Caenorhabditis elegans: one gene and its partner. The protein of the gene in region 1 purifies or fractionates together with the protein of each later gene. This does not show direct contact. Each region holds a gene or a part of one and is shown in the gene's direction. Other genes may lie near its edges. The genes, in order: mlc-3 and C04F12.8.

Region 1 (16,481 bases):
TTTTTTTCCAAAATTCGAGTTCGCTTTTTTTAATTCAAGAAAATTATTACAAAAAATAGGGAAAATTTTAAAAAAAGTGTAGCATTATGTTAAAACAAAAACTAAAAACCGCTTCCTTTTCAAAGTTTCAATTTTCCAGGCGATGGGAGTCGAATCAGATTTTGACATTGTGAGTACAATCGGTCACGAGGAGAAGTACGTTTCAGCATTTGCTCAAACTCTCGAAGAATCCATAAATGCCGGAGTTTATACCCAACAGCAGGCACTCGCATATGTTACCTCAAAAGTCAAGGCTCGTAAATTCACACCATTCGGATCACTTCCAGGAACTTCAGTGAGCGTCTTGACTCCACCGAAAGAACACGAAGCAGTCGATTTTCTGTCCAATTCAATGATCACACATATTGCTTGCCCAGATGGAAATTTCAAAATGAAGGCGATTTATTTGGGATTAATGACAAGACGACTGATTCAAACGGAACTCGGAGAAAATGGGCTTGATGATCGGGATTTCTACGGAAATAAACGTTTGGAGCTCGCTGGATCATTGCTTTCGTTGCTGTTTGAGGATGTATTCAAAAGATTCAACTCTGAACTGAAAAGAATTGCAGACAATGCGTTGATGAAGACAATGGCTGCACCATTGGATATTGTGAAGCATATGAGACAAGATATGATTACGAATACTATAGTGAATGCTATGTCGACAGGAAATTGGATTATCAAAAGATTCCGAATGGAACGACTTGGTGTTACACAAGTACTAAGTAGATTGTCATATATCTCAGCACTTGGTATGATGACAAGAATCAACTCGACTTTTGAGAAAACTCGAAAAGTCTCTGGTCCTCGATCCCTTCAACCATCTCAATGGGGAATGCTTTGTCCGAGTGATACTCCTGAAGGTGAAGCTTGTGGTCTTGTGAAGAATCTCGCTTTGATTAGTCACATTACAACTGATTCCGATGAGAAACCCGTTCTCAGATTGTTACTCAATTCGGGAGTCGAGGATTTACATAATGTGCATTTCTCGCATGTCAATAAGCCGTGAGTTTTTACAAATTAAAATTTTAAGTGTGAAATCTTGAAAAATAAAAGTTTTGAGAATGCTAGTTTTGAAAAAATCGCATATTTTAATCAATTTTTATAAATTTCTAAAATAAATTATCAATTTCATAAAAATTAGATTTCAAATCGAGTTAAGGTTTGACAATTTTTGAAAATTACTAGATCCATTTTTTTGTGTTTTTTCCTAAAAAAAAGGTTATTTTTATCGAAAATTTTCAGTGAAAACACGTTGATCTTCTTAAACGGAGTGCTCATTGGAACAGCTGTGGATCCAGAAAGAGTGGTGAAAGCCGTCAGAGATTTGAGAAGGTTTCAACAAAAAAATGTTGCCAAAAAATTCATCGAATTTCAATTTCAGAAGTGGACTCCTGTCAGAATTTGTTTCAGTATCCCGTTCTCTAACCAATCGTTCTGTTTTCATTTCATCAGACGGTGGCCGCCTGTGTCGACCATATATTATTGTCAAAAACGGAACTCCAATGCTCACACAGGCTCACGTGCAGGAACTGAAAGAGGGAAAAATGATTTTTGAGGATTTTGTTGATGACGGAATTGTCGAATATTTGGATGTAAATGAGATGAACGATGCGTTGATTGCCGTTTATGGGAGAGAAATTGGCCCAGAAACTACACATTTGGAGGTACGTTTTTGAACTTTGTGAATCTAAAAATGAAAAAAATTAAATCGAAAACTGGTTGTTCTTTCCTGTAAAGAAAATTCAAAAAATTTGGTAAAATTTGTCTGAAACTTAAAACTATGTGAAAAAAGTTTAAATTCTCATTTTTTTAAATATAAAAAATTGAAAATCAAATTATTTAGAGCTCTAAAATTCTATAATTCAAGGAAATTCCAACATTTAAAGATTTTTATCCTTAGTTTAAAATAAAATTTGCACTTTTCAGTGTCTGAGCTATTAATAATCTTTCAAAATTTCCAGATTGAGCCATTTACTCTTCTTGGAGTGTGTGCTGGTCTTATTCCATATCCACATCATAATCAATCTCCACGTAATACTTATCAATGTGCTATGGGTAAACAAGCAATGGGAACAATTGCCTATAATCAACAGAAAAGAATTGATTCAATTATGTATCTTTTATGTTATCCACAGAGACCACTCGTTAAGTCAAAGGTTCGTTAAAATTGAAATATTTTAAAATTTATGAAAAAAATTTGATTAAAAAATGCATGTTTCATTTATTGAACTAATGTTTGTGGAGAGATATCGTTAATAATCCTGAAAATAAAAATAAATCAATTTCCTGAATTCCGAAAAATAAAAAAATCAAATCGGAAGTATCCGCTATATCTTTCTAATCAATTATTCTATTCAGAAATTTTTAATTTGTTTTTCTTTTAGAAAATTATCAATTGTTCAAACTTTTTACATCACAATTTTCCAGACAATCGAACTGACAAACTTTGAAAAACTGCCGGCCGGCGCGAATGGAATCATCGCAGTGATGTCATACAGTGGTTACGATATCGAAGATGCTCTTGTGCTCAATAAAGCTTCACTGGATCGTGGTTATGGTCGTTGTCTGGTCTACAAACATGTGAAGGGAACCGCCAAAAAATATCCGAATCAGACATTCGATCGTCTTCTAGGACCAGCATTGGATCCGAACACGAGAAAACCAATTTTCAAGCACAAAAATCTCGATCAAGAGGGTATTGTATTCGCCGGAGCACGTATTATGCCGAAACAGACGATTATCAATAAGCACATGCCAGTTGTCAGTGGAGAAAGTGGTCCTGGAGCGTCGGCTTCTGCCAATACAAGTATGTTGAAATGAGCATGACGAATTTGTATAAGGAAAATAAAAACGGAATGTACAGTTTCGAGAAGACATCTATTTTTTTAAAAGTTTTACGAAAAAAAACACGAAAAATATAAAAAAAAAAGAATAATAAACAATTCCCAGACCAACCTCGTAAAAATGAAAGCGAGTTTTCAACAGAAACCCTGTTTTAAAACTTTTTCCAAAAAATCTGAAGTATTTATAGCATTTTTTAATTTTTACCAATTAAACAAATGTTTTAAAAAAAAACTCAAAGAAACTGTCTCCGTTCTTTTTTGCGAATATAAATTTTCTAACTTTTTTACGTTCACAATTAAATAAAACTTGACATTTATTCCGTTCAAATATTCAATTAATTTAATTTAAAACGAAAATTTAAATATAAAACTCTGAAAAAGTAAAAAAAAAAACGTTCACTAACAATTCTTTAAATTTTCAGTCGGAATCGCTGGACGCCAAGTTGACTACAAAGACGTCTCGATCACGTATAAAACTCCAACTCCATCATATGCGGAACGAGTTCTTCTTACCTATAATGAAGATGAAGCTCATTTATTCAAAGTTCTTCTTCGACAAACCCGTCGGCCAGAACTTGGAGATAAATTCTCATCTCGACACGGACAAAAAGGAGTATGCGGATTGATTGCTCAACAGGAAGATATGCCATTTAATGATCTTGGAATGGTGCCAGATATGATTATGAATCCTCATGGATATCCATCTCGAATGACTGTCGGAAAATTAATGGAATTGTTATCTGGAAAAGCTGGAGTAGTGAATGGAACATATCATTATGGAACAGCATTTGGTGGAGATCAGGTTAAAGATGTCTGTGAAGAATTGGCTGCTTGTGGTTATAATTATATGGGAAAAGATATGCTGACAAGTGGAATTACTGGACAACCATTATCTGCTTATATCTACTTTGGACCAATCTATTATCAGAAGCTCAAGCATATGGTTTTGGATAAGATGCACGCCCGTGCCAGAGGACCGAGGTGTGGAGAGATTTTGAATTTAGATAATGTCTTGTCTGGAAATTCTGAATTTTGGAAAGAATTTTCAATTAAATATTTAAAAATTAAGTTTAGCAACAAAATCTGAAAAAGAAAAATTTTTAGAACAGTTAACTCTGCATTTTCCAACTTTCCTTTAAAACTTTTGATGTAAAACAATGAGGAATTGCAACATTTTTTTAATTAGAAAATTTGGTATCAATCAAAATTCACTTATTTTTATCATGGTTAAAATTTCGAAAAAAGCCAAATTGAAAAAGTTCTGAAAAAGGAATTGACAAAATGCTCGAAGCTTAGGAAATTAGGGGAAAAAAGAATCAATTTTTCATAGTGGAAATACATTTTTTTCAAATCCAATTCGCGGAAATGTTATGCATATTTTGGAACAAAAAAAACCATTTTAATTTTTCTCACATTTTTTAAATTAAAAAAAAAACTTTTTTTAAAAATTTTTTTCAATTTATTCTCAGAGTTTCTTTTAAAAATCTATAAATTTTCAGAGCCGCATTGACTCGCCAGCCAACAGAAGGAAGATCACGAGAAGGAGGTCTACGTCTTGGAGAAATGGAACGTGATTGTCTCATTGCCTATGGAGCATCGATGCTGCTTATTGAGCGTTTGATGGTGTCATCAGATGAGTTTAAGGTAAATTCCCTTACCGAGTTTTTTTTAAAAGTTTGCTACTTTTGTGTGTGTGCGCGCAATTTTTGCTCATCATTACACTAGCCGTAACACTCTCAAGTGGTTCTTTTTTGCGAAAATGAGGAGCGAAACTGTTGCGGGAGAGACTGGGAGAAGCCTTGCGTGGGTTGACTTTGCGGGTCGACTTTTCTTGGAAACTGGGTTGACGTTTTTTGGAAAGGTTCTTGAAAATTTTTGATTTACCGCAGAGAAAATTATGGATTTTGTTTGATCATGAGAGAATACATTTCCCGACTTTTATCTGAAAATATCGAAAAAAAAGGTCGGAAACCGATTATTAATTTTTTTTTGAACTCCCACTTTTTTATAAGAACAGAGAAATCGATTTTAAAAAAAGCATTTTCCCTAAAAACTTTTTAAAAAAAGCAAAACTTTCTATTTTAATGGCTCTGAATCTCTGTTGCTCGGAAGTTAAAAAAAATCAAATTTTCGGTGCTATTCGAGCAAGATCCATTCCCAAATAAAAAAAATCTCTCACAATTCAGCGATATTTCGGAGTTTTTGAGAACATTTTTTACTAAAACCGCCTTTTCTTAGTACAGTCGTACCGAAAATAATATTTTCTGCACCTGTCCCAGGTGGCAAACAAGAATCAGAGATCTAAAGACTTGGAAGTGAACCTCACATTAAGATCCCTCCAGGAAACCTTCGGAGCTCTCGTCTTGATTCGCTTCTTCCTTCCTACTTTTCGTTTTTTTTTGCCCACAAAATAGTCATCGAAGAAGAAGAAGAAAAGATGAGATTTTTGCCCCGATGCGAGATGCCTGGTGAATAGTGTGATCTTCGTGGAGAGATGTCTCGCTGATCTCTCCTTGATTGCCATTTCACTATATCTTCCACCCCGAAGTCTGTGGACTCCACTGATCTCCGCATCTCTCGTCATTGAGTAAAAGCATTGGCAGAAGAGAGAACAGAAGAAGGAGGAATAAGAAGGAAGAGATATCTCCACAGTGGGTGCCTGTGCTTTTTCTTCCCGTCGGCTGTGCTCCTAGGAGTGGAATGCCGAGAAAATGTGCGATTGAAGTGGCACGCGGGGAGGATAGAGAAAGAAAATAAAGATATTGAAAGGGAGAATAGAGAAACATACGTTTACAACGAATTAATCGAGTTCGGCAGCCAACACGGGAAAAATGAACTTGTGAAGATGTGTTAAAACACAAAGATCTTATTAATTATTGAAGAGGGAGGAAATAAAATAAATTAACATTTCGAGCATTGGGGTACTGTAGACCTATTCCGTAAACAGAGAAACAAAATGGTTTAGCAGAATTCGCGGACTGAGGCGAGAGGCAGGCGGAGGTTGCCTTAAGGTCAGGCAGGCAAGCGTTTTAATGCAAAAGTAATGGATACTTGTTGAGCCTTATAATAATGTGTCGATATTAAAAAACACAAGTATGGATTTTTAACATAAAAAAGTTAAAAGACGCATGCTTAAATATTTTATAGGATAATTTGGTACTCCTTAAAACTCAGTTTGTATAAAAAAACGATTCGATGAGAGTATAATAGATTTCCAATGTAACTTAATAAATTTCTTGTTTTCCAGGTCGACGTGTGCACTGGATGCGGAGTAATCGGCTCGAAGGGTTGGTGCCAAAAGTGTCGTTCGAGCAAGTCAATGGCGAACATTAAGATTCCGTATGCGTGTAAGCTGCTCTTCCAGGAACTTCAATCCATGAACATTGTCCCGAGGCTGGACTTGGCCAGATACACCGAATAACCTTGTTTTGTAATTGTTGTTGTTGTTGTTATGCTTCTTCTTTCCCCTTCCCAAATCATTTTTTAATCTATTTTTTACTTGTTCCCCGAAATTTGAACATTTTTTGTTGTTTTTTTTGTCATACATTCATTCTTAAACTTATCATGAAAATTTTCTAGAAAATACTTGTTGAAACAGTACGCCGCGCTTTCTCGCTCTCACATCCCACATCTCGCCACTCTATCTCTTGAGCATTACATCCCTCTCTCTATCTCTCGGGCTCCCGAGGGGTGAAATAGTGTACTCGCGCGGGAGTGCGGGAGCTCAATATCCGCCCCAATCCGCCCCCATCCTCTACGAAGAGTCACACACAGTTTACACTTGGGTTGCCACTGCTCTGTCGCCTTCACTCAGTTTCCACACTCAGTCCCCCCTGCTCTGCCGCCGCTGCAACACTCACACATCATCACATAATGGCTCCACCATCCCAAGGTGAGTAATTTTTTAAGCAATGTCCCCAGCTCTTAGGGATACCTTATAAGGTTTTAGGACTTCTAAAACATTTTATTTTTAGTTTTTTTTTAATGTTTCAAAAATATATCCAATTCCCCAAATATATCCCTACAATCCCAAACATTTTTTCAAACTTGAAATCGTTCTAGACGTGCTCAAGGAGATCTTCAACCTCTACGATGAGGAGCTTGACGGCAAGATCGACGGAACCCAAGTCGGAGATGTCGCCCGCGCCGCCGGACTTAAGCCAACTCAGGCTATGGTGACAAAGGCCGCCGGACAGGAGTTCAAGCGTAAGGGAGAGAAGAGACTTACATTCGAGGAGTGGCTCCCGATGTACGAGCAACTCGCCAAGGAGAAGGTACGGTATTTTAAACATCTTGCCTGTGCCTTTAACCTTTAGCTGAGAGTTTTTTGAGATTTAGGGATCTAGGGGCCTCGCGCCAAACCTTTAACTCCCGCACCGAGTGATAATCAAACAAAGAAGATGAAGCTTGAGATTTGTTTTATTTCAAGGTCTAAGTAAATATTGGATCTCAGAGGTTAACCCCATACAGTACCCCTAGCCGAAAACTTTTAAATCACAACTAAGGGTCTGAAAAATCTGAACATCCTCTTCCACCGGCACATGCCAGCCGATCCCTAGAACTTTAGAGAGATAGGCGGCGGCGGCTCCCGTGAAGCATGTGTGGGAGAGGAGCACATAGGACTCTCGAGAATCTCTCTTGGCACACACAAACACACACATAGGCACAGTGTAACAATAGAGAGCATCATCATTCTGCGTCTACTGGGTCCTTGTTGTAGATATTTGTATGGATAGGAAGTAGTAAGGAATAGGCAAGGGATCTTGAGTAAGGATCCCCATATACGGGTAAAAGAATGGAGTGAGTATATATGAAGCTTCTAGGAGCTATTGAGTTTTGGAAAGAGCTGCCAGCTCAGACTATTTAGTGGAGGTTTAAGGTAAAAAATCCTGTAGATCTTTGATTGAATTCAACTAGGGCATTCTCTGGACCCACAACCGTCAGTATTTTGAAAGCTTTAAGGCAACCAGTTTCTTAGAAAAGATTCAAAACAGCACATGGAGATCTTGAAGAGCCAATAGAAACCTACGAACTGAGCTCAGAAGACTGGACAACTCATAAAGTTTGAAATAGCAAGTTTGGCCAGATATTTTGGGAAACACATTTCGCTTTCGTTATTAAATAGTCTGCGAAGTTTACCTGAGCACATATCTACTCAAATTTGACAATCTGAAAGTCAGTGTCTAACGAATTTTGGATAGAATCCTAAGCGAAAATCAGAGAGTTCTCTGGAGCTTCGGGATGGAATTAGCTGATGTTCGAGGTTACTGTCACCTGAATAGGGAATGATTTATGTTTACTGGAGTTAGATGCCTACCTTAGGGTCCGCATGTAGAGCAGATCATCATTCATTTAACATTGAGATTATAAACTGAGAAAATTGTTCTTTCCAATATAAATTTCCAATTTCTTCAGGAGCAAGGAACCTACGCTGACTTCTACGAGGGACTCAAGGTGTTCGACAAGGAGGAGACTGGAAAGATCTTGGCCGCTGAGCTCAGACACATCCTCTTGGCTCTCGGTGAGAGACTTTCCGCCGATGAGGCCGATGAGCTCCTCAAGGGAGTCGAAGACGGAGAAGGCATGGTCAAGTACGAGGGTAAGCCGATTTTTTTTCTTCTCGGAAATTTTTTTTAATTGAAATTTATTTCAGATTTCATCAAGAAGGTTTTGGCCGGACCATTCCCAGACCAGGACTAAATTTTTGGATCTGAATCTGTGCTACACCCATTATAATGTTTAAATTTTGAAAAAAAAAACACCATCTTCTCTTACCCAAATTTTTTGCTCCCCTTTCCCTTCTCTGCCTTCTTTCTCCCCGTTCCAAATAACGATGTTTTACTTTTTTGTCTATAAACCCATCGTCTAGTCGCTCGTTTTCTTCTACGCTATACACGTAAGAGATTCCACTCGCGTGCGCGCATTCCGTTTTCTGATCCAGAAAACGTTTTGCACTTTAAAAATCAGCGCGCGGTTTTCTCTTCTTTTTCTCCAACACATTCAAGCCTGTTTCTATGATCAAGAAATTTTCTTTCTTTCTTCATTTTACACTTTTTTATTCAGAAATTCATTCGTTTCTTATATTCGTTCTCCTTTTTGGATTATAATAAAAAACCTTTTGAATAATTATGAAATGGAAATTTTGGTATAGTACATGTAGTAAGTTGAAAGGCTGCTAGAAATATCAGCTTTTGAGTCGATGACCTGATAAAAACAAACTGCCAGTTTGATTTTTATCAATTGATTTATTTTCCGTCTACTGTGCAAGAACGGTAGCTTCCAAAAAATAAGAAATTGCCAAATTATTTAAACAATTTTTCGTATATATTGTTAGCTGACAACTATTTTTTATTGTATCACCACCTAAATATAGTTTTTCAAAAAATATCACTCAATCCTAAAAATTGGTGAAAAGAAACAATTTCACCTTAAAAGCTTTCAAATTGAAGTTAGAGTAGCGAAACTGTCCACTTAAATATACTAAAGACCCAAAATATTGATTTTTGTAATGAAATGAAACTCTTGGAATTCTGTCCAAAATTTTTTATGACGGTTAAAAATTTTAAGAAGAAGGGCTAAAAATAGCTTAAATATCAAATTTTGCCAACTTTTTCGTATAGAAGCTGCCAGAGTTTCAAAAATATTATCATCAAAGAGTAAAATTATTTATTTTTGAATGTTCTGCTTGTTTACTGAATAGTTGCTAAGAAGTTAATGCCATTAGTGTAGAAAACTAGTAAAGCCTACTCAAACTTGAAAATCATCATTTACTCTTCCCCCTACAAAAAATTTCAAAATCAAAGTTTCAAACTAGTTGATCAAGAAAATTAAAGAAAATATAATACTTTTAGAAGCTGAAAACAGTTTTGCAAAAAATTGCATTTCTAGTTCAAAAACTGAGAGCTATTGAATTTTTGTTAGGTATTCCAAAAATGAAACAAACACCATTAATTTGCAATGATACAATTTTATTAATTTTTTTGAAAAAAGCAGTTTCAGATCGATTGATTTGCAAGATTTACATAAAAACGTTCGTAATTTCGATTTCCGACAATTCAAGCGGTGGTTGGCTTCTGATTGTTAAGAAGAGCAGATGGACGAGCAAATGCACGTGGAGCAGCATCATCCTTATTCTTGTTTGATCCCCAAGCCCAGACTGATGGATAGGCTGCAGCGGCTACGTATGGAGAATAAACTGATGGGTAGGCGTAGGCAGATGGAACATAGGCGGCCGAGTAGGATGGGACAACGTATTGTTGATGGGATCCGACGATCATGGCGCAGAGAAGGACGGCGACGAAGCTGGAATTTGAATTTTAGGCCTGATTTTAGTTGAAGCCTATTTCTAGGTATTCTGCTTAAGGTTTACATCAATCTTACGTCTAAACCTAAAATAAGCTTCTTGAGCATTAACCTAAGTCTAAGACTCAGCCTATGCCTTAGCCTTTCTAAGCCTAACTTAAAAAAGATGACTTACCACTTGGCGAACATATTGAATTGAAGTGACTTGAAATGTCAGTATTGAACTTTCCGATATTCTACGTTTTATACTCTACCAAACCTTTACAAAAACTTGTACATAACCAGTTATTTTCATTATTTCTTTATGGAAATCTTCTTGCACAAAGAGCTTCTATATTTACTCAAGTAGTTGACACATGCGGGAAGTCTTTGGCGGGAGAAACTTCTAAAAAAAGTACGCAAACGTTTTGTTACTAATATATACAAATAATGTAATAAACTAGTTATTGGATGATTTATGGTGTCATAAAGTAGAAAAGGGCCAATTTTTGGGTGTACCACTGGAAGATCTTTGAAAACCAAAGTAAAAAATTTTTAAAAAAGTTCGATCTCCCAGAAACAGTTTACACAATAATTTTTGAAAATTCATAGTGAACGAGTATTGAATTAAAAAAAAACTACTTCATTCGAATTTTTCTTCAAAGTTATTAATCCAAAAACTAAAAAACTAGAATGTTGGTCTGGAACCTGAAAATATTTCAAAAATGTGTTTTTTTTTCAAATATCGCGACCAATAATGTTCCAATCTTCAGAATCCTTTAAAAATTTTTTAATAAAATTTTAATTTAAAATTGTTTAATTTTGCTCCCAATTTTTCAAGATAAAAGTTAGGACTCTGTACGTCAATTAAAATAATTTGCTCTAAAACGTTACAGAAATTTCAGAAATTGCATCTCCTCAAAAATTATTTTTTTTGGCATAATCAAAGTTTTGAGAAAAAATGCAACGCTTTCTTTCACAAATCCCCTTCGTTTATTTTCATCTTTTCCAATTGCCCAAAAACAAGAAAAAACGAGATTCCCGTGGATTCTAAGAAGGAACATGATTTTATAAACAAATGAATGGATGTTGGCTGCCTTGAGCATTTATAGCATTCAATGCTTAATGTGGGAACTATTTAAGTACTTCCACAGTTGTGAGACCAAAACAAAAGATTTAATGTTATTTATGGAAATGATTGTGTTCAGTTGGGTAATTTTACCCTCTCAATCAGAAATAATTATAGTTATTTTTGATTAAAATAAATTCCCATTTTCTGCGATTCCAATTAAAAATATAAAACACTTATTTTATTATAAAACACTTGTTTTAGAAATTAGAAGACGTTGAAATAAAAAAAAATAATACTCCGGTAATATTTTTGCCGTACCAAAGTGATATTCATAAAAATTACAATAACCGATCTAAAAAAAATTTCCAAAGAATTATTCGATTCATTCACAGAACTTTTATTTGTCAATATCAATTCAGAACCCTTCCATCTCACGTCTTGACTTACCAAGTCAACCCATATTATTATTGGTTGCCGCCAAAGTGTGCTTGCAACTTTTAGAGTCAGGTGACCAGATCATGGTCATTGACTTGCTCCGTGAGCTTAATGTTACAAAAAGCTCAAAAAACTTGACAGGAAGGTTTCACAGAACGGGTAGGTTCATATTTTGACAGAGCGGCAAAATTTACAAAATTTCTTTATTTATTGAAATGTTTAAGAACGCTAGCAAATTTTCAGAGAACATAAAATCAAAGATTTATATTTTTAAAACCGTTCGGTTGTTGTCTTTCACTTAAAAGTTAAGTGTTGTGTATTGAGCGACTGTTGTGTATTGAGCGAGTGACAAGGAGAGAAGAAGTTTATTACAAGAGAGTGTAAGAAGTAATGAATTATAAAGAGAGGTCGCTTACGCGATAAGTTCATGATGACCCAAAGGTCACGTCTGTATAAAGTTCAGGTTTACGTTCCGTCCACAACATTAAGATTTAAGCATAAAATATTTTTGGCACCAGACACGTTCAAAAATTTCCGATCGCAAAAATTTCAAAAGTGGAAGTGTGGAAACTTTTCGACAATCTGCAATACTTAAAACAACTATACTGAAGAAACAATTTTCTTTGGTAAATTTCCGAGCATTGCCGAGCTGCAAGGTTTAGACAATACGCCAGCAACTTGCGATTTCAATATTTTTTGGCAACCTAAAATTTCCGCAACCGTAGAAATCGATAAAGTTAACAAGATCCTGTGAACGTTTTGAAATTTCATTTTTTTTCCGCAAACCTCACAAATTCTAATTTCAGAAAAGTGAACTTGCAACTTTGCCCTTTTTAACTATCATCTACTCTCGTGTCAATCTTCCCCATTTTCATCGTTTTTCCCATGATATTTGTAATAATCTAGGTCAGGAGCAATGTTTCTGTCAGGTGACAAGATCATGTAGGATATCAATCACTGCTGCTCCTCACTGTTCACGAACCGCCGTGCTCGGCGAGTCCCCATGGGACACGGGGAAGAGGACGAGGGGACATTGCTGGAAAAACATGTCACTAACAGAGATTTCAAGCCAAGTAATAGTCACACAAAAAAATGGGACATAAACACCCATTCTTTTGGCATGTAGGCAGTGGGCTTCTATAATCCCTGCTCGTCTTCCTTTTCTTAGGACGTAGTAACCATATTTTAATCCAACCAATTTTTCATTTTCACATACAAGAGAGAAAAGTAATCCCACTCGTCCGATTGAAAGTCTATATTTCATTTTTCGAATTTTTCAATAACATCTTGTTTGGTTTCTGGAAATTCCAGTTGCTCAATGCTTGTGGCAACATATTTCAAAAGTTTGCTCAATTTTGAGTTGACCTAATTTATTTTGTAAACTTTGTTTCTCATTGTGCCCATTCGTTAGAAGTTTGAGTCCGTTTTGCTGTAATTTTTTTGGTAATTTTTGGTAATTGGTAATTGTTGACCAAAATTTTTACAGACTGTATATGTTCCAGAAAGGTACAAAAAACCAATTTTGTTGTCTACATAACCACCTACGCCTGCTTTCTCAAAAAGAACATATGTTCTCTATTAGTTCTGAACCCCATCTGTAGGTTACCGTGATTTTTCTTTTCATTGTCTTCACTTGAACCTCTGAATACGTGCATTTTCTGTGAAAAATGAGCAAAAAAGAATGCTCAATCTTTCATTTATTTACCATGAATCACTTCATTATTTTTTTGATATTCTCACATTATTCTCCTTTTCTCTCATTTTTCTTCCGTTTTTCACCCATTATTCAGACATTCCAAAGGACCCTCTTAAGTTGTTTGGAACACAACAAGCTTGTCAATTTGTTCCGGCTTCATCCTCATCTTTTCTCGTTTTTTATAACAGTAATTTGGTGAGAGCACAATGGAATGTGTGCTCTTTTCTCTTTCGGGAACTCATTTATACTTCGTTGTAAAAACATTTGAACTTTTGTGTCGTTTTTATTCCGTCTAAAAGCTTTTCGTCAACTTTCATGTGTGGCAGGTGTGTTTACGAGCACATGCCACGTGACGACTCCGCCCATTTTGAGCCGGTAGGACATTTTTTGATTGCTGGAAATTTTTTGGGTTCTGGGTTTGTCGGACTTCATAATTTCGTTTTTTTTTAGTATTTCCCTTTTCAACTGAGTTTTTCCTATTTTTGTGAAATCCTCATCGTTTCTTTTTATTTGCTTTAAATAGGTTTTATGAATTAATTTATGAATTTTTTATATTTCCAAATGAAAGCATCAATTTTCAAATTAAAAGGAAAAAAATTCTAAAAATTAAGGTTTTTATTTATTTATTTCTAGATTTAACCAGATTTACTTTTGTTTCATACTATATTTTTTCAAAATCCATTAAAAAAAGAATGCTCCTTTGAAAGTTTGAAAATTTTTCAATAAACGTTCGCTAGATTTTAATTTTAAAGATTGGCATCGAAAATTTCGAATTTAAATAAATTCAGTAATTGGGAAAAAGGAAACATTTTCGAATTTTCTTGACCTTTTCAGATTTTTAAAAAATGTTTTGCCCAAACGAAAAATATTTTTACAATTTTTGTTTAACCAAATTTCTGTTGAAAACTAGAGAAAAACGATTTTTTTGAAATTTTCTGGAATTATTTTGGAAACTTCCAAAAAAAAACAATCTATAACTATCCAAAACTCGTGTGGTTTTTTTTAAATTTTAATCCAAAGATATGGAAAAATCATTAAATATCCGTACAAATCTGGAAAAAAATTCCGAAGAAACTTTTGAACGAAAAATTTCCGAAATACATATTCATTTTCCAAAACTTGCACAACATTTTCATAATCACTCTCTTCCCAAAAGTGCACGTGGTATGCAAAAGGACCACCACAGGAATGAAAGAGTCCCCCCTCATTTCCTTCACTACCTCCTGCTCCACCCCCTCCTGCCAGTCATCATTTTCTTGCTTTTCCTCTAAGCTTCTTTGCTAATTTCAAAGGAAGGGAGCTCCCGTCTATTGCTCCCGTGCTCTTTTTCTCTTTTTGCCTCAACAAAAACTCAAGGCTTCATCTCAATTTTCAGTTGTAACAAATCTCTCTGTCTCTCTCGTTGAGCATCAGCCACCCGCCGCAGTTTTTCAAAATAACCTATATTATTATCATATTTTTTCGAAAGTTGTTTGGCGCCTTTGAATATGATACTTTGTTTGAATTTTACGTTTTTTTTTAAAGAATAAGAGTTTCAACAAATCTTTTAAATTTTCTAAAACATCTTTCATATCAAACTTTTTTGAAAAATTATTAAGAAATTATCAATTGACTGTGAGATTAGATGAAAAATTCAAATTTTCGTAAAGTAACTGATATTTATCATAGGAAACTTTTTTTCGAGCCCAAAATGTTTAGTTCGTTCATAAGTTAAGCACAAATGAGTTCACCTAATATTCAATTTTTTTGTTCATTTTCATTAATTTACATTTTTTGAGCTGTAATTTTGAAATCACATTTTTTTTCTTAAAAAAATGTAGCTCTTCAATTTTTTTTTGAAACGGCATTTGATTTTCCACACATTTTTGAAATAAAAATTTTCCAGGAAAAAACTTTTTTGGTTAGTTTTATAGTATTTTTCGTAATTATAATTATTCGAGCCGTACTGTGAGAACTGTGAGAACTTTGATATCTGAAGGGAAAATAATAACATTTCTTCTTAAATTTGATCATCATTGAAAATTTTGAATTATTCTCCAGTTAAAAAAATAGGTGTCCCGTTTTTTGTTTACTTATTTTCTTCTTTTTCTGAGTATAAAAGCAAAATAAATATTTAAATAATCTTTAGATGTCTTTCTTTTTTTTTTAAATACTTTCGACCAAAAATTATAGACCATTACCCTCCCCTTTCTCTCATTTTTTACCTCTATTCCCCCGCAATAGAATATTTTCAATTAAATTTAATTTGCAGATGGTGGGTAATGTTCTATTACTGCTCATCTACCACATAACTCTTGCCACGTCATCACAATGGACATCCTCTCAATTTCCGGATCTTCGGGGACCTACGGTGAATCAGTGCGTAGCAGTTTTGCCACGAAATAAGCAACAACTTTATGTCTGTGATCCGGATCATATGCTGAATAATACACAAGGTTCGGTTTAAATTTATTGGAAAAGTTTGGAAAATAATTTAGTTTAGAAAACTCAATTGAAAGTTTTACCGAAAGTCGGCTCATTTCTTTTTAAAAAATTATTTACTTTTGTCAGTTTTCAATTGAAATTTAGCAAAGTTGGTCAAGTGTGTATACATTTTAATGGAAGTTAATTTTTTTTTAGATTCTGCCGAAAACTCAATAAAGTTCAACAAAACTTACTAAAAGAATTTGGAAATTTTAACTTTCTACAAAGAGTTGGCAATTTCAAAAATAACTATTTTCAACTTTCTGTCACGCTTCCAAATTTATATTAGAACTTTTCAAATTCAAGACGAGTTTTGCCAACTTTTTATTAAGTCTTGCATATTTAGAATTTTGTTTTTAGATTTCAAGTGAGAACAAAAAATTATATCACTACTTTGGCAATTTTTGAAAAGTAGGTAATTTTCATAACGCATTCAAAATTGTTCTTTTATCAATTTCCTTGCTTCGGTGACAATTCTCAATTTTATACCAAATTTCTAATAAAAGTCTGTTACAACTTGTCCAATCTGTCATAAAACAGACAACTAAATAACCCATAAGAACAATCACTTCTTCTTCATTTTCTTGTCAAAAATTCCAATTGCATAGTAATAAAAAGAGACTGAAGAACAGAAAGAACATGTGGC
Region 2 (16,481 bases), on another chromosome or scaffold:
AAATTGGAAAATGTTGAGATGTTTTTTCTTTTCGTGTTTTTGCTTTCCAAATTGAACAAATCATTAAATATTATTCAAAACCGCATTCAAAACCGTTTTTTTTATTTCTCCTTTTAAAAAACGCCTAACATTTTTTTTTAATTGTAAATTTTTATACCACTGAACTTTGACAAATCTCCTCACGAATTTATCCATTTATTCATTTCTAATTTTGATCCCCATTTTGTTTTAAAAACGATTAAATCAGTTTCCAAGCATCGCCACGTCATCTCTCGTTTCCCTGCCATTTTCTTTTTTTCATTTTCTCGTACCAATTTCCGGAGATTAGCTGGAAGGAAATAGAAAGAGTAGGACTCCCGTGATTTCTGGCACAAAAACACTTTGGATGAGAAATCAGACGAATTGAGTGAGTGGGGAGTGACGACAGGAAACGAATTAGAAGATGTCTCGGCGATAAATATTCCTCTTTTTTTAGTTTTTTTTTTCGAAAAGATCTCTGTGTACATGTGTACAGATTAGATGTGAGGTTTAGTGACGAGTGCTTAATCTCTCAACTTACCAATCTGGATAAACATTTTTTGGATAGATTCTCATTATTAGGATTTAGAAGAGGATGTTCTGTTGAGATGAGGACCAAGCATCTCAAAGTTTAATCAAAACTACAAAGCATCTCAAAATTGAGTCGCTCAGAAAATGACTGTTCAATCAAAACTACTGAGCATCTCAAAATTGAGTCGCTCAGAAAATGACCATGAAAAAAGAAAATAAATGAAATGGAAAAGAGTTATATTCTCCTCCTCGCCAATTTGTCGTTCCTACTCCGTCCGCACCTATCCATCGTTCACATCCAAAGTTCCAATTGAAATGCCTTTGAAAGTACTGCCATCCAGCCATTTGCTATCGAGCCATCCCATTTGGTCCATCTGCCGTACGTCCGTTCGATTCCGGGTTCGATTTGATTCATCATCTGTCGAAGGTGGAACTCTGTAAAAATAACAAAATTTATCCGAAACAAATGCCGAGGTTCCCTGTCATCAACGGATTTTTAGGGTTATTTTTCGTAGGCGGATTAGAAATTGAAAACTTACCTTTAATCGATGTTGTCTTCTCCAGGTAGTTCGTTGAACATCTTGTTGGCGGCATATTCGAAAACCGAAAATTCGTAGAATAAACATTATGACAAAAACTGCAATGTTATATAGCAGGTCTTATCAAGATGTACCAGTTTTTTAAATGACCTCCCATTAAAGTTCATTAACAAGTTCGTTTAAAAAATGTCAAAAAATTTTTTTTTATTTGTAATTTTTTTAACTGAACTAAATCAAGTTAAATAATTCAAACTGTGATTTTTTACGTGACCGGAAGGTTAGAAAAGAGGGTATTGATTCTCATTTTTAGTTTCAAAAATATGGCTGAAAAAGTGTGTGAATCAGTTTTGAACATTTTGATTGGCAAAAAAATGCCATTGAAAGGGATAAATACATTGACATTCTGTCTCTCTTTTTCTCTTTTCTAACCTGTTTTCCGTCTGTTTTTGCCCTTTTCAATGTTTTCTTGTTTACCGCAATCATTTTCAATTCTCGTCTTCTCAAATGTATTTTCTTTTCGCTTTTTTAGTCCAACTCTTGTCATGGCGGGTTCACGAGACAACATGTGAGATCATCTCTATTTATTTCCTTGCACCGCTCTGACCTTCCTCTCTCCAAGTGTGTTTCAGTTTCACTTGAAGTTTTAAAACCAGATATTTGAATTCATCGAATACCGGATCACATGATTTATAATTTTGGGCTGAAAAACGGTTATCTTTCTGTCAATAACAAGTGAACGGTAAGCGGAGATTCTTATGATTCACCATTTTGCAGCGGAATGAAAAAATCTCATTTAAAGAATAGAATGAAAAATCGGAACAACATATGCCTCTTGTGAATTCAATTTTGTGCTCTTTTAAAAATTTTCGCGTAATAATTTTTCAGCATACGGTCCACTTTTTCTAAATGTATTGTTTTTCTTCAGAATATTTGTGCTGCACCCCAATGCTCCAACTTAGGTTGCTCACACCCCACCTGCAATCAATACCTGATCTTGGAAACTGAAAACTCTTGATTTCTGATTTCTTGAAAGTTTTACCTCTCCTCTCTTAAATCTGCCCAAAAGAAGATCCTCTGCATCATTAATTGATTTCCGTTCCATCTTATATTTTTCGTAATCCATCTTCCATGAGCAATTCTTATCTTGGAGTCAGCTCATCAAGAAAATTTTATTTTTCTCTCCTCTAATCTTGCCAATATTTCCTTTTCGGCTTTCCATCTAATCCAAATTCGGAAATAAAATCCTAATCTCTTGAGCCTAGAGAGCTTTAACGTGGATATGTAATACATGGCTCTCGATTTTGAATTTGCAGGTTTAGAATAATTTTCTTTTTTGTGACAGCTAAAACCCCTTCAATTGTTCATTCAGTTATCATTGGACTAGAAAAAGTTGTGAAAAAGTAAAAATTAAGAGACAAGAAACTTCATTCACTTGTTACCGCTTCGACGCCTTTCTTCATTCTATTTTCATCTTCTCGTCCCGTCTGAATTGTGCTCTCTTTGTTCATTTTGTGAATAAGTAGTGACGACTGCTCACCGACAGCAGGAAGGACATTTTTCAGCGTCTGATCAACAACTTCTTCTCATTCTTCTTGTTCGTGTTTTCTCACCTTCTTTTCCCATATAACTTGTTTTTCATTTTCCTATTGTTATCACTCATATATATTCTCTTATTTTATTTTGTTGCAAGTTTATGGGAGCCTCTATATCTTGCACTTGTTTTTGCATATAACTTTTGAACGAGTATTGCTCAGAACCATTTGATATCATGATAAAAATAATTCCAAAAAAAGGTGGCAAGCAATATCAGCTCTGGAAAAAGTATATCATCTTAATCTGAAAACCTACATCATTTCCGGTTTTCTGTTGTCAAGGGAGGCAGTTGTGTAATGTTAAAGTGATAAATGATAGATATATCACTAACACAATCTTCTAACTTACACAAATCGGAAAAGTTATCAAGAGAGACCTCGATTATTGTGTAACATCTTTATTTCTCATCCTCCTCCCAATTTCAGCTGATTTCTAGATACAATCTTTGAAAGTCTGCGTCTTTTTTGAGCTGATCAACGATCCAGTGTCATTTGAAATCTAAAAACTTCTAAAAAGTGGCCCAGAAATTGTCATTTTCCCACCTCAACCACTCGATTTGTTTGTCTCTCAAAAAAAAGGTCGAACACGAAAATATTTGCTGCTCTTTTCTATTTGGACAACTCTTTCTGTTATTATTGTGATTGCTGATTCTCCTTTGATTTGCTTTTTATTCTTTAGTCGTTAGTTGTTTTTAGTTCTTCGCAGGCGGTTTTTTTTAACTTTCGGTATTTGTGAAAATTAAATGGTTAGAAGAAACCAGAGAGCATAAAAATGTTTGAGCTTTGAAAACAAATTAATCTGGTAGCATTTTTTCAAAAAAACAAAAACTTCCAAAAACCTTGACCAATGTTTGTTTAATCCTATGAATACATTTAAGATCTTTGACAGTTTATTATAAAAAGTCTGCATTGAAAAAAAGTCTACAAGCATCAAAATTTATTTTGAAAAATTCACCAAAAAATTTCACATTGAAATAAAAAAAATGCAAATTTTTAAAATGAAATTTAATTCCATTTAAAAGTGTGGAAAGTGTGCTCGAAATTGGCTGTAGGTTGCAATTGACAAATAAAGACTTTCAACTCAGATCTACCGAGAAATTCTCAATAAAAATAAATTTTATTCTCGAATTACCAAAATATATTTTGTATAAATAAACCTATGTTTATAATTAATTTGAAAATTGGGTTATTATACCGAAACGAGCAGTTTTGTAAATTTGAAGATGACGCACACCCCTGTAAACAAATTGAGAAAGTATGGTCATGCCAAAGTAATAGGTAATCACCTCTTTTTCATATGCAGAGGGTTGTTTAAAATTCTTGGAAATCTTGAATATCATCTTCTTCTATTTTTATCTTCCCATGTCTTTTTGTCTACATTTCTCTCAACCTACACTACTTTTCATCCATTATCACCCTCCCTCAAGCTTTTTCTAGTTGTATCAATTTCGTTTCTTTCTCTAAATCTCTTTATTCTCAACACTATTTCACATTCTGAGCAAGAAGATTACACCTTTGTCCTACGGGTACATGCGTACTCGGGGAGATGATACTTCCTCCACAATTTTGTGCCATCGTCAAAGATCAGTAAGAGTAGTTAAGACTCGTTTGTTTTGAGAAACAAGTTTCATTCTTTAACCATTTTCCCCAAAACAACCACAATTTTCAAACTCTTACCTTCACTTTCACTTTTGATTTGAAAGTTTCTCTAAGACGTTTCTAGAAACATCTTGTTTATGCTTACTGTGGAAATGGTTTCATCAATTGTTTTTATAAAAGAAGTCATTTGTTATTTTGGACGATTTTGGTTTATTTTTCTCAAATTTTACGAACACAGAATTTGAAATTATATGTTTTTGCTAAGTTACTGTGCAGCAGGCTGATGTGATAATTTCGGCAAGTTTTAACCCACTTCCTACTGTGAAAATTTTAAAAAAAGTAAATATAAAAATGGAAATAACTAAATTTTTGGAAAATTATAATTAAATTCCCTCACTTATACAGATCAGAAAATATAAGAAAAACATAAGTCAATGATAAAACTAGAAATAATTTACTAAGAAAGGCAATGCAATTGGGCATTCAAATGGGAATTTCGCCAAAACTGAACATTTATCAATTTCCAACTTGAAATAAAAAATTTCTGCAGATTGATTTCTGGAAGCATTTTGGCACTCGCCGATTTCTGAAATTTTGTAATATTTTCGGAAACTAAAACGTAAAGTTTTTCGCACAATTTTATAACTGTAAACATCTCACAACTTTGAAAATGGTTTCACTCACACCGTCACAAAGCTAACTCTGAAGTTCCATAAGCTTCAGGTGATTTAAAGCGAGAAAACTGAGAACTTCTATATCTAGTCATCTGCATTCTCTCTTGATTCCTCTTCTTCTCACCCTCTGAACTTTTACTTTTTAATCGTATCGTTTTGGCTGAAACGATACCCTCTCACTCCCACAGGAACGCATTGTTCCTCCTTTCGCCACGTCATTCACTTCCAACAAACAAGTCACCTTCTCCTCCCACTAGTTCTTTGTGAGCAAATATTAGGAAAAGTCAAGGAAAGGGAGAAACAAAGGGTCGAGAACCAGGTGATGATCAATGTTTGGGTTGCCAACTACCGTTTGACACACAAATCTTTACTTTCTTTTCCACTTGAATAAGTGATATGGATAGGTTTCTTAGGTACATTCTCTGAAGATAGTCTAGATTCTTCTAGAGAAACTCTTTTGGGGATTACAATTTTTATTCCAAAAATTTTTCAGCTTATTTTTCACAGATTCATAAAATTTTGATAATTTTGGAGGTTTGGTGAACTTGTTGAAATAGTCAAAATTGTTTTGAGCGTTTAAATTTTGAAGTTTTTAGAATTTTTATTTACTTCATTGGGTCAAAAAATGAAATCGTTTCTTAAAATAGAAATTTTCAAAGCTTTCAGATTGTTTTTTTAAAGATTAAATGTTTCCATATTGTGAAAATTTCATGAAAACGACTTGAATATTATATAATATTAACGAACATAGTTTCACATATTAAAATTTCAAATCTCATGTATCATCTCTTTATAGTTAACTTGATTTTTTGAGTCATTACTGGAGAAATGCCCGTTTTCCAATTCCAAACTGATCGAAAAAAGTTCAAGAGAAAAATGACCGCATTTATCAAATGTAATAACAGGGTAAGAATTCAGGAAATGAGTGGGCTCATTTTGTGTCACGAGAACCAGATGCGTTTTTGTTCGGAAAATGATGAGTTACATTTTGAACATTTCGCAAAAGTCCAGCAAGAGCTCAGTTTATTTATTTTTTCTTCCGTTAGAACTCAAATCGGTGTTTTTTATATTCAAAAAACATTCTCTTCCAGTTTCGTCCACAAGAAATTTTGCGATATAAATAAGAAAGCAGGTGTGTCTAAAAAAGACAGATTATCTTTGATTCCTCAGAAACCGCAAAAAAATGTCGAATTACAAAATATTGTTACTGTTTCTAACCCATCTTAATACATAAATCATCAAAAACCATTTCTCGAAACAAGAGACAAAATGTTTTTGCAAATGCCATCTCTCTTTTCCTCCACTAATTTCCTTTTTCATTGCCCAAATTCTTTGCCGCCGGGGGAAACAGTTACTAACTTTTTTTAAAAATTTTTCTCTCTATATCTCTTTACCTTGTGACCGCCATTTACCTTTGAAGTTTGTCGAAAAATCCGGTTTTGTACCAATTTTGCAAATTTTTCCCAAAAATTCATTTTTTCAAAGGAAGTCTAACTACCATGTAATGTATTCTTTTGTCCTTTTAAACTGCCTCTCCTTTTTCTAAAACTCTTATATTTTAGATATATTTAACTTTAAAATGTTTTTCAGAAATATGTCGAGGAATGTTGGTGTTCTCGGACAAATGTCTGAAATTAATGATCATCTGTATCTTTCGGGTGCCGGAGTTTTGAAGCCAGATAAAATTAAACAAAGAAAAATTAATATGATTGTAAATGCAACCACTGAAGAGCCATCCACGTATATGCAAGGTTCGTTCGAATTTTCCTTAAAAAAGAGAAAACACCCCAATCCACCAGCCATTTTTCGATTTTCCACAAAAATACGGAAAAATCAAAAAAAAAAAAAATTTCGGCGATACTCTTGCCCCGGAAAAACTATAAACTACCTTTTTAGAATCAATTTTGATAAACTTATACCTATTTCAGGAGTTGACACAATGAAAATTCGAATTGAAGATCATCCATATGCAAGGCTCAGTGAGCATTTTGATGTTGTTGCTGACAAAATCCGTAATGTTAAGGTATATTTTAGTGTTTAAAATCTTCAACTTCCTAGAGTTTTTGAAATGTTTTCAAAATTATGTTTCATTTAAATGTTTCATAACTTCTGTTCATCGTGTGGACATTACGATTTAAAGAGAAGGAACGAAGACACAAAAGAGAAAAAAAAAGTAAAAACCAGTTGTTTGTACTCTCGACGGCCGTTCTTAACTGAATTTATGAGTGTAGGCGGAATGGACATTTTTACGAGTGAAGAGAAGAAATGGAAAGTGTTACTGACTGGAGTGAACTTTAGAACGGATAAGGGTCATGGCAGAAATGTTATGAGAGTTTTAAAATCTGAAAATATAAGGGAATTACATATTTTGTTAGAAGTTATGGAAGACAATTTGTTCTTTTTTTAAGACTAGGCTTCTATGTAGGCAACAAATGTCTGCACACCTGCCTTCAGGCTTGGCTCAAATCACACAGGGATCCACATGTACTCTAAAAAACGGAGCGAGGTTATAGGCGGCCTCCCGCCGGGCGCCTATAATCTCAGTTCAAATGTATTTAAGACATAAATTTTAAAGTCAGTTCTTTAAAATTTCTTGTTTGTTTTGAAATTGTACAGTTTTTTCAAATCCAATTTTTCAGGAACGAGGCGGAAAAACACTTGTACATTGCATGGCTGGAGTATCAAGATCAGCTTCATTGGTAATGATTTATTTGGTAAAACACGAACATATGACTCTCCGACAAGCATATCACTACGTCAAAGCAGCTCGACCAATTATTCGTCCAAATGTTGGATTCTGGAAACAAATGGTTGATTATGAGAAACGATTGAGAGGAACAGCATCAGTTAAAATGGTTCAGACACCGGAATGTGATATGCCAATTCCAGATGTTTATGCAGATGATATAAGAAGAATGCAGATTAATAGGGAGATCAGTAGGCATTCATTGCCTTCTGCACAGAGCTCCGCGAGCAAGCAGAGAGCTTTTTCAGCAAGGTGAGACAGTTCTCAAACGTTTGCTGCTATTAAATTTTTATAAAATTTCCAAATTTTCGATTTACCGATTTTTAAAAGTTTTTTTGAAGTTTTAGAAAGATCGAGTTTCAAGAAAGTGAACAACTAAAACCTGACTAATTGAAAAATGAAGGTTTGCAAATCGGAAATTCAATAAAGGGATATCGTAACAAATTTCTTCGTTTCTTTAAACGATTTTTCATGAGTTTCGCTAAACTTTTCGGTATTTTTCTCAGTACTAGTACGTTTAAAAATGAAAGAGATATGAGGAATGCTACCGTAAATGTTTCTCGCGGCGAGGGTTCTTACTATAATTAACTTGAATATTCCAGTACATACCGTCCATCCGTATCATCTGCCTCATCCCTTGCCACATCATCACTTCGTCGAGCATACAGTCCATCATCACTTCCGGCTTCAAGTCTTGCTCTTACCACTTCATACAGTCTCTTTTCTCCTGCTCCAACAAGAAAACCACGTCAAAGTCTATTCTCAATGTACTCAACTTCGCCACGTCACAACTTTTTCTCGGCATTTTAACAATAATGTTCTACTGTGTCTCTTGTTTTGTATCATATTTTGACCAAAATTTCAATACTTATCTACTATCAAAAATCAAAAAGCTTTCTTCTAATTTCGATGTAGTTCCGCACTCAAATTTTTATTAAAATTGTATTTTATTTTTTTAATTTGAAATTCTTAACTTTTTTTAAACTTTTCTAAACGCGAAAAAAAGTGGTAACGGGTTGATTTTTCCCCACAAAAACACACAACAATCAACATATTTTCCCATTTTTCCTTTGTCGCTTATTGTCACACACAAATCCAAAGTTTTTCTGTGTATATCATTCCGATAAACATTTTAAAATCTTTTTGGTTGTTGTTCTGAATTTCAGATAAATTATTGAAATTAATAATTAAATTTCTTTCACCTGTTTGGTTTTGGATTTTAATCACGTCTTCAGGAGTAAGGGCCTGTCTACTGCCCACTTTCTGTTTGTAGGTACATAGTGTCAACTAGGCACAGGACGAGGGTCGCCCAGAGGTCGAACAAGCTTATAGAAAGTGCCTTGCATAACTTTTTTCAACGTCAGAGAAAAAATTCAGATCAACTCTGAAAGTGCACATCTGCTGCTGAAAATTCTACCTATTTTAATTGAATTATTTTAAACGACACAGTTTTACATGGAAGTGCAATGTTCAGAAAACTTTTCTCCGTGAAATTGCGTAAAGATTTTGTATTAAATTTAAAATTCTAAACAATTTCACGTCAAATTTTCATGAAAAACGAACTTTCCTACCTCAACGCGATGCCCTACTCTATTTATTTGACACGTCGTAATAAATGCTCAGTTTCTTCACAAATCAATCAGTACTCGATACTAACTAACTTCTCGTCTTCAATCTACTAACCTTCAACAAAATGGGATGCTTATCGTCAATTGAAGCACCACTTTGTGCTGTCATCACTGTCATCTTCCTAGTCAGTGGTCTCTACTCAACTGCATACAAAGTTGCCGGATCAAAAACGGTACTCGATGAGACTGCTCTGGATACTAAAGGTTAGTTTTGCATTTTGTTTCAGATACAGGAAAAGTGCACTGAGCTTGAACTTGATGTAGTTTCAAAGAAGACCTTTGAAACATACAAAAGTTCATGGTCAAATGATCACTTTGAACTATGTCAATCTGAAGTTGTTTCATGTTCTTTTGAAAAAAAAAAAAAAAAAAAAAAAAAAAAAAAAACCTGACAACAAAAAAAAACCTGACAACAAAAAAAACCTGAGAACAACTTCCAAATGACATTGGTTTTATCTGTACATCGAGAATTAATCTCGAACATATCGACCCTAGAAATATAGAATGTTTCAGATATGTTGATGACCGCATTGGCACTCATGTCACTCATTGGACTCTGCTCAACTCGTCGTGCATTTGGTGTCTTCACTCTTCTCTTCATGATGCATGCATTTGTATTCTCAGCTTTCCATCTTGCACATACAATTGCACTCTTCATTAAATCATTCGATTCTCCATGTCAATATCTGAAAACTCCCTCAACTGGAACACTTAATTCGGATATCTGTCATGCTGTTAATGGAGTTACTCTGGTGTGTGCAGTGATTTCAATGATTGCTACTGTAAGTTTCTTAGATTTAATCTAATTAGTTTTATCTGAAAATTGTTCAGGCTCTTGCCAGTATGGCCGTCTTCATTCGTCTCACTACAGTCGTCGTCAAAATTTCGGATAAGAGAGTTATGGCAACAAGTCGTTCATTTGACAACTCAATGCCACAATTAATCAGTAGAAAGTCAATTGAATCGGAGAAAGAAGAAGATTGTTTGGAGACACCAAGAAGAAAAATGGGACAAGCTGATATCTTTGTGTGATTTTAATTGATTTAATAAATATTTCATTAACCCTCCGAGTAGCAAGAATATACATTTTAATAAACGGGATCTCAGCAACAACTTTCTTGATACTCCCTCCTTGACTGCACATAACAGTCGATAAATTGAAAATTATTTTGAAAGTTGCAACCAGCACACCAGCATTTTCAATTGCCCTTTTTCCCAAAACTGAATCTTTAGTTCTTGAAAAAACTAATTTTCTGGATAATCTATTGACTTAGAAACATAACTTTTTAAAGTTTTAAAAGCTTGAGATAAAGTTAATGTACAATTGTGAAATAGTAGTCGACGAATTGAGAAAAGTAGCTTAAAACATTTTCAGACAATTTTTCTCGTAATTTACATTAAATTTCAGTTTGAAAAGTAACTTTGGTTTTTAACGGTGGAGTTATGATGGTGTTGAAATAAAAAAATCGAAAATTGTAATTCTGATATATACGTGATATATTCCAATTTCTTATCAATAAAACTAATCTGGCAAAAAATCCCCCTCCACGAAACGAAATCGAAAATTAAATTATTTCGGTTTTAGTCCAACACTTGGAACACATTTCGATTCGCATCATTCGCAGTGGTTCAGTTTTTATTTAGAACTGGCGGACATCCAGTTTTTTGGATTTCGGATGTCCCCGATGTCGCCCTCGATAGGTAACATGAAGGAATAAGTATTTTTGCAGCTCACTCAAGATGGCATACGTCAAGAGCTTCTACATGGATGCTAGTTTGGAGAGCGACGCCGACGTTCTTCCAGCAACGGAGAGTGACGTGTTCGAGGCACAATTCATTGCCGATGTCCCACTGAACAGCGATGCAATTGCCCGTATCATTGATTCTCAACTCGCGTTTGAGCAAAGCAATCAGGTGGTTTCGGACTATTGCACCGAGAAGCCAGTGGAGCTTGAAAATCCAAATCAGCTGGCAATGAATAACTCAGTTATGGACAATCAGCAATACTTTGCACCGCCAAAAACTGATTCGTCCCACTATGCATGGAACACGAATGACGTTGTCTCTTCTCATCATCAATATGCTGCACAGAGTCCAAACATCTACACCAACGACTATCATACCAGTGAACCATCTGATTATGTCTATATGTGATTTGAAATAAAATGAATTTTTGAAAAGTGAAATTTTTGAAATAAAGTTTTGAAAAGAAATCTGTCTTCCAGTTTGAATAAGAATTTTTAACTTTATTGAATTTTTAAATGTTGTCGTGATTATAATTCTGATGATTGGTAAATATCTTACAAAAGAGATTCGAAGATTATTCAATATGATGGTTGAATAAATAATCAGCTATTCATGCCTTTGAGCATTCTACAAAGACTCTACTTGCGCTCGCATAATACACCCGAAGCAGTTAGAAATATAACGATGAAACCAGACAAAAATGTACAGAAAGTGTTAAATAACCGAAGTTAATTACACAATCTATTAAATGATTTGTTTCAGATTTTTAATTTCTTTTCGGCGTTTCTATGAATTTATTGAGAATTTAGTACTATTATAGGTGTGTTCTGTTATTTTCTTAATTATTTCTCAGAATTTTTTTCCCAAAATAACGGGTAATGTAAGTAATTTAAGTTAAATTGGACAATGGAAATTGGACAATTGGACTCAATAAGTCTTAATGACTTGCACTTCCTATTAGAATTTCTCTCAAAATGACAAATCGAAAAATAGACTTGACTGTAATACTAATAGGGAAAATACGCGAATCATTTAAACAAAAAATATTATTATTACACGTTTCACAAAAAACCTTATCTTTTCAAAAGATCTTTTTGAATATTTTTACCAGTTTTCTTCAAAAAAGAATTTATTCCCAACATTGTCCACTTTTCGATTCGTCGTTCAAGTGTGATAATATTCATTTCCTGATTTGAACACTCAATAAAGAGCTTGTCAACTGCAAGTTTGCGACTATCGACGCTATCAATGGACGTTCAAGATATCATTGGAATTGCTTTGAACTTGGCAACGGCCGGATCTCTTGCAGCAAAAGTATTGCCTGGATGTGGAGGAAAAGTGAGTTTTGAACTGATTAGTGTTCTAGTATTGTACTGAAGCACAAACATGGCACATACCTACAAAGGTTGTGTACGCGATTGTTTTTCTCAACTAAGCAAGTCGCCTTACTTTCAAATATTACAACTTTCAGAAAAAGGGGAAGTCGGTTGAAGGCGAATCAACTTCGAGCAGCAAAGGAAATGGTGCAAAAACTCCAGAAGGAAAGGAAGGATCCGAAGCCAGAACACCATCAGCTGCTGGTTCAGCAGCTCCAACTGCTCCTGCGGAAGGTGCAGCCCCTGCTGCTGGAGCCCCCGCTGCTGTAGCACCAAAACCTCCAATGGCTGGTTAGTTATTTAGAAACAAGATAAACTCTTGCTGGAATTGGCAATGATTGTTTCGAAAAGAAGGATGGAGCACCAGCTGCCGGAGGAGGAGGACCAGCTCCACCAGCGAATGCAAAACCCGGAATGGCAGCAACCCACGACCCGAACTATCAAACATTGGCTGGATTGGATAACAACGTATTTGGAAAGAAGGATGGTGCTGCTCCAGCTGCAGGTGGTGGAGGTCCAGCTGCTCCAGCTGATCAGAATGCAAAAGCAGCTACTCACGATCCGAATTATCAAACACTGGCAGGATTGAATAACAATGTTTTTGATAAGAAGGATGGTGTAGGTGCCCCTGCTGCGGCTCCTGTTGCTGCTGGAGGAGACAAGAAACCAATTCAACCGAATGATAAAAACAAGAAGGCTGCTACGATGGATCCTAATTATCAGACACTGGCTGCAGTTGGAGGAGATGTATTCGGAGCTGATAAGAAAGCTGGAGGAGGAGGTGGAGATAAGAAGCCAATTCAGCCGAATAACAAGGTATATTTCTAATCTCGGTGCAATATTTTGTTATTTATTGTTTTTAGGGTCAAAAGGCAGCAACCATGGATCCAAACTACCAGACATTGGCAGCTGTTGGTGGAGATGTGTTCGGTGCAGATAAGAAGAAGAAATAGACGAAAATGATCTGAAATTCACAATAAAATCATTTATTCGCCTAATCTGTTTTGCCTTCACTTAATTAAATAATATATTTAAGTAAAGCGCCCGGTTGCCTCTAATAGTACGCAGTATACAGATCAAGTGTTTCAGCTCTGTTATTATTTCAGCAAGAGAGATTTAAATAAAAAGCATGTTGAACAATTTTTGAAAGCATTTATTAAAGTTTGTCAATTGAAATATATTCAGGAATGCAACAGAACTTTGAATGGCCATTGATAGTGAAATCTACTATTTCTTTTCCCTGAAATAAATTGAAATCCGGAGAAAAGAGATGAAAAGTCGATGAAAGAAAATTCCGCAATAAGAGACGTTTTAAATTACAGTAATCTTTAAAGGCGCACACATGTTAACAAAAATTTATCGTGTCGAGACCGGCTACCGTATTTTTTAATGATAATAAGTAAGTGAAAACCGGAAACGTAATCAACGCCGATTTCAAGAGCACAGGTTTTATAATTTCTGATCAATCTGAGAATTCACACTTCAATTGGAATTGTATTTTCAATAGGAATGGCAGTATTTAAATGGATAATTGTGTTTCGATTACTGGTTGAATGGATCGAAGTTCACAATGTACGACCTTTGAGAACACAATTTGAGTCGCAAGAATATCGAATTCACTCAAGTGAAAAATAACAATAAATGTTAGAAAAATTGTTCATGATGACGGAATTTCTTTTTTTTTCTGTTGAATGTACTCAGGAATAACTGACGAATACCAAAAACAGTGTCAGAATTTTTGTTGCTTTTGCCACGTCATGTCTTGCAGAGAATCCCTATTGCAGAGAATCCTAGAGAATCCTAGTTTACAATGCATTGCCGAGTACATATTGACTCTGTTTTGTCCTTTTTCCGAAATTCTCAGTTTCCGGGCAGTTTGTCGTTGTCGGCCGCCTATCCTTTTGGTCGACAATTATCGAATTATAAATGGAACAGCGAGTTTTGGGAAACGGAAACGAGCTCTCGGATCTTCAGAAGTTTTAGGTTAAACGTGTATGCTGATGAAGAAGAAGGAGTGGAGGTCATCTGAATTTTGATTTATGCTAAGTGACATTTTCTTTTTTCCAACTCTTTTCTGCTTCAGACCCACTTTCTCTCACTTGTCTGATGTTCCACTTTTATTTAGAATCGTATTTTAAAATAAATTCTGTTTCGAAAGTTTTTTTAGGCTTTAAAAAATCTGTTTCTGTTAAGAATGTTTCAAACTATTTATTCTACAGTAAGATTATCTACAGTAACTTATGTTTGGCAAGGCACATGATTTGATGCATTCGTGAGGTCTCACCACGAACAAAATTGCATACGGTAATAATTGGAGAACATTTTCGAAAATTCGTTTTTTCAGCTCGATCTTGGTTTCCTTTTGTTTTTTAAATCATCTATATTTTCCTATAATTTTTTTTGTTTTTTTTTGTAATTCATGCATCTATTTGTGTGAATTATAACCGAAAAAATTTAATTCGACCTTAATTTGAACCCTTCATAGCACTCAAAATGGCCGGAAACAGGAGGAAACAATTTTGAAACATGTTGTATCTGCCCCCATGTGACTTTGAATTTTAGTGGAAAAACTAGAAACAGAAAAAAGAATGTGTGAAATAAGTGGGGACTCTGCTGCATCTGTCCGTTATTCAGAATAGAACCTAGAGGTGCTTCTCACCTGAATAATAATAAAAGTTATGAAGAGAATATAGAGAAAATAGAAGACGGACGAAGGAAAATGACGGAGAAAAGAGTCCTTCTTCGTCCGGAAAACTGCAATCTTTCACTGCCACCAGTTACGAAGCGTTTTGACGAATTTCAATGAAAAAAGCGGCTCAGAAAAGGGGAAAAGCATAAAAGCATACGAAGAAAAGAGTTAACACTCATCCGTCCTTCAAAAATGGACAAATTTTGATCCCTCGCTACTCGTTTCCGTTAAGTCTTTGCTCTCCTTTTTTCGTTCCGTTTTGTTCCAAGTTTCTTGTCTCTCAATCCTGATGATGTCCATAGGGTTCGCATTGATTCAGTTTATTTTATATTTTCACATTTTATTTGACTTCAGCTGATCTCTATGACACTTCGAACTTCTGATTCTTACATTTTAACTATTTTCAGATGCGGTTTCTACACCCACCTGTCATTCTTTTATTACTGGTGCCCGTTTCTATGGCTATCATTCAGTGTACTCACTACAGAGTCCCACAAGGACAACCGATTCCGAAGGCTGAGCGAAACGTGAGTTCAACTGCTATTTGTATTGATAAGATTTTGCATTGCTTCAGCCAAGATGCCATTCGAAAGCAGAATATTGTGTGAAGGTCACCGGAAGCAGCGTAGGAACTAATCTTCCGTTCATTTCGGGCCGATGCGAGCATGCTGGTGAATGCAAGGACCACGGAAATGACTGCTTCACCAGAACCGACACTCAAGGAAAAGAGGAAGAAATCTGTTGCAGCTCTGGAAACTTCTCAAACCACGGATCAACCACTCCGCTTTTCACTTCTATCGCACTTTTCATCACATTGCTTATTATGTTTTGTTGAAGTCAATTTTAGTAATAAACTCGCCAAGCTATAAATTTCGAACAATTTTTTAAACAACATTTCATTAAAAACAAAACAACGTTTTACTTTTGGGCCTTCTTCAGTTTGGCGAGCTCCACTCGGACGATTCTGTTTCTCATCTGCTTGGCCTTCATGAGCTTGTATCTCTCGAAGTCGGTGAGCTTGGCTCTCTGCAAGTAAAAATGGTTAAAGTGAGCCGAAAATGCTAATTTTAATACAAAAACCAAGCTAACTTTAAAAATATCGGAAATAGTGACTTACGATAGCTCTTTGAGCGATCTTCTTGGCCCATTGAGTCTTCTGGAAGTTCTCGGTGACCTTGGCGGCATCGAAAGCTGCCTTAACTCCCTTGGTGCGTTGTCCAACACGGAGCTTGAGGACGAACTTGGTGAGCTGAAGATCCTTCAAGTTTCTGACGGTGCGAGTGACATCGGAGGATGGTCCATCGATTTGAACCTGAAAATAACAATTAGAAGCCTGTATTTAT

Evidence for each region.
Region 2: the proteins of mlc-3 (region 1) and C04F12.8 fractionate together in Caenorhabditis elegans (co-fractionation; one large-scale study listed by BioGRID). This does not show direct contact.

Annotation. Positions count from the first base shown.
Region 1 is NC_003281.10:5,558,371-5,574,851, forward strand, and holds mlc-3 (Myosin, essential light chain), read left to right. Parts: upstream 1-6,654; 5' UTR 6,655-6,761; coding exon 6,762-6,780; intron 6,781-6,950; coding exon 6,951-7,162; coding exon of another isoform or gene 7,163-7,204; exon of another isoform or gene 7,205-7,446; intron 7,447-8,303; coding exon 8,304-8,487; intron 8,488-8,541; coding exon 8,542-8,588; 3' UTR 8,589-8,637; downstream 8,638-16,481. Other genes in the region: rpc-2 (DNA-directed RNA polymerase subunit beta), read left to right, coding at 140-1,047, 1,288-1,377, 1,427-1,709, 2,007-2,201, 2,473-2,851, 3,311-3,869, 4,388-4,532, 6,136-6,309; nspb-12 (Nematode Specific Peptide family, group B), read right to left, coding at 9,944-10,190, 10,366-10,379; molo-1 (MOLO1 domain-containing protein), read left to right, coding at 15,624-15,807.
Region 2 is NC_003279.8:9,689,622-9,706,102, reverse strand, and holds C04F12.8 (Protein-tyrosine-phosphatase), read left to right. Parts: upstream 1-6,536; 5' UTR 6,537-6,547; coding exon 6,548-6,704; intron 6,705-6,881; coding exon 6,882-6,976; intron 6,977-7,081; exon of another isoform or gene 7,082-7,102; intron 7,103-7,592; coding exon 7,593-7,951; intron 7,952-8,301; coding exon 8,302-8,509; 3' UTR 8,510-8,866; downstream 8,867-16,481. Other genes in the region: C04F12.16 (Transposase), read right to left, coding at 842-984, 1,089-1,143; C04F12.7 (Membrane-associated protein), read left to right, coding at 9,393-9,531, 9,841-10,109, 10,159-10,359; C04F12.12 (Retrovirus-related Pol polyprotein from transposon TNT 1-94), read left to right, coding at 11,068-11,481; nssp-7 (Activin_recp domain-containing protein), read left to right, coding at 15,546-15,665, 15,713-15,973; rpl-14 (Large ribosomal subunit protein eL14), read right to left, coding at 16,057-16,164, 16,256-16,450.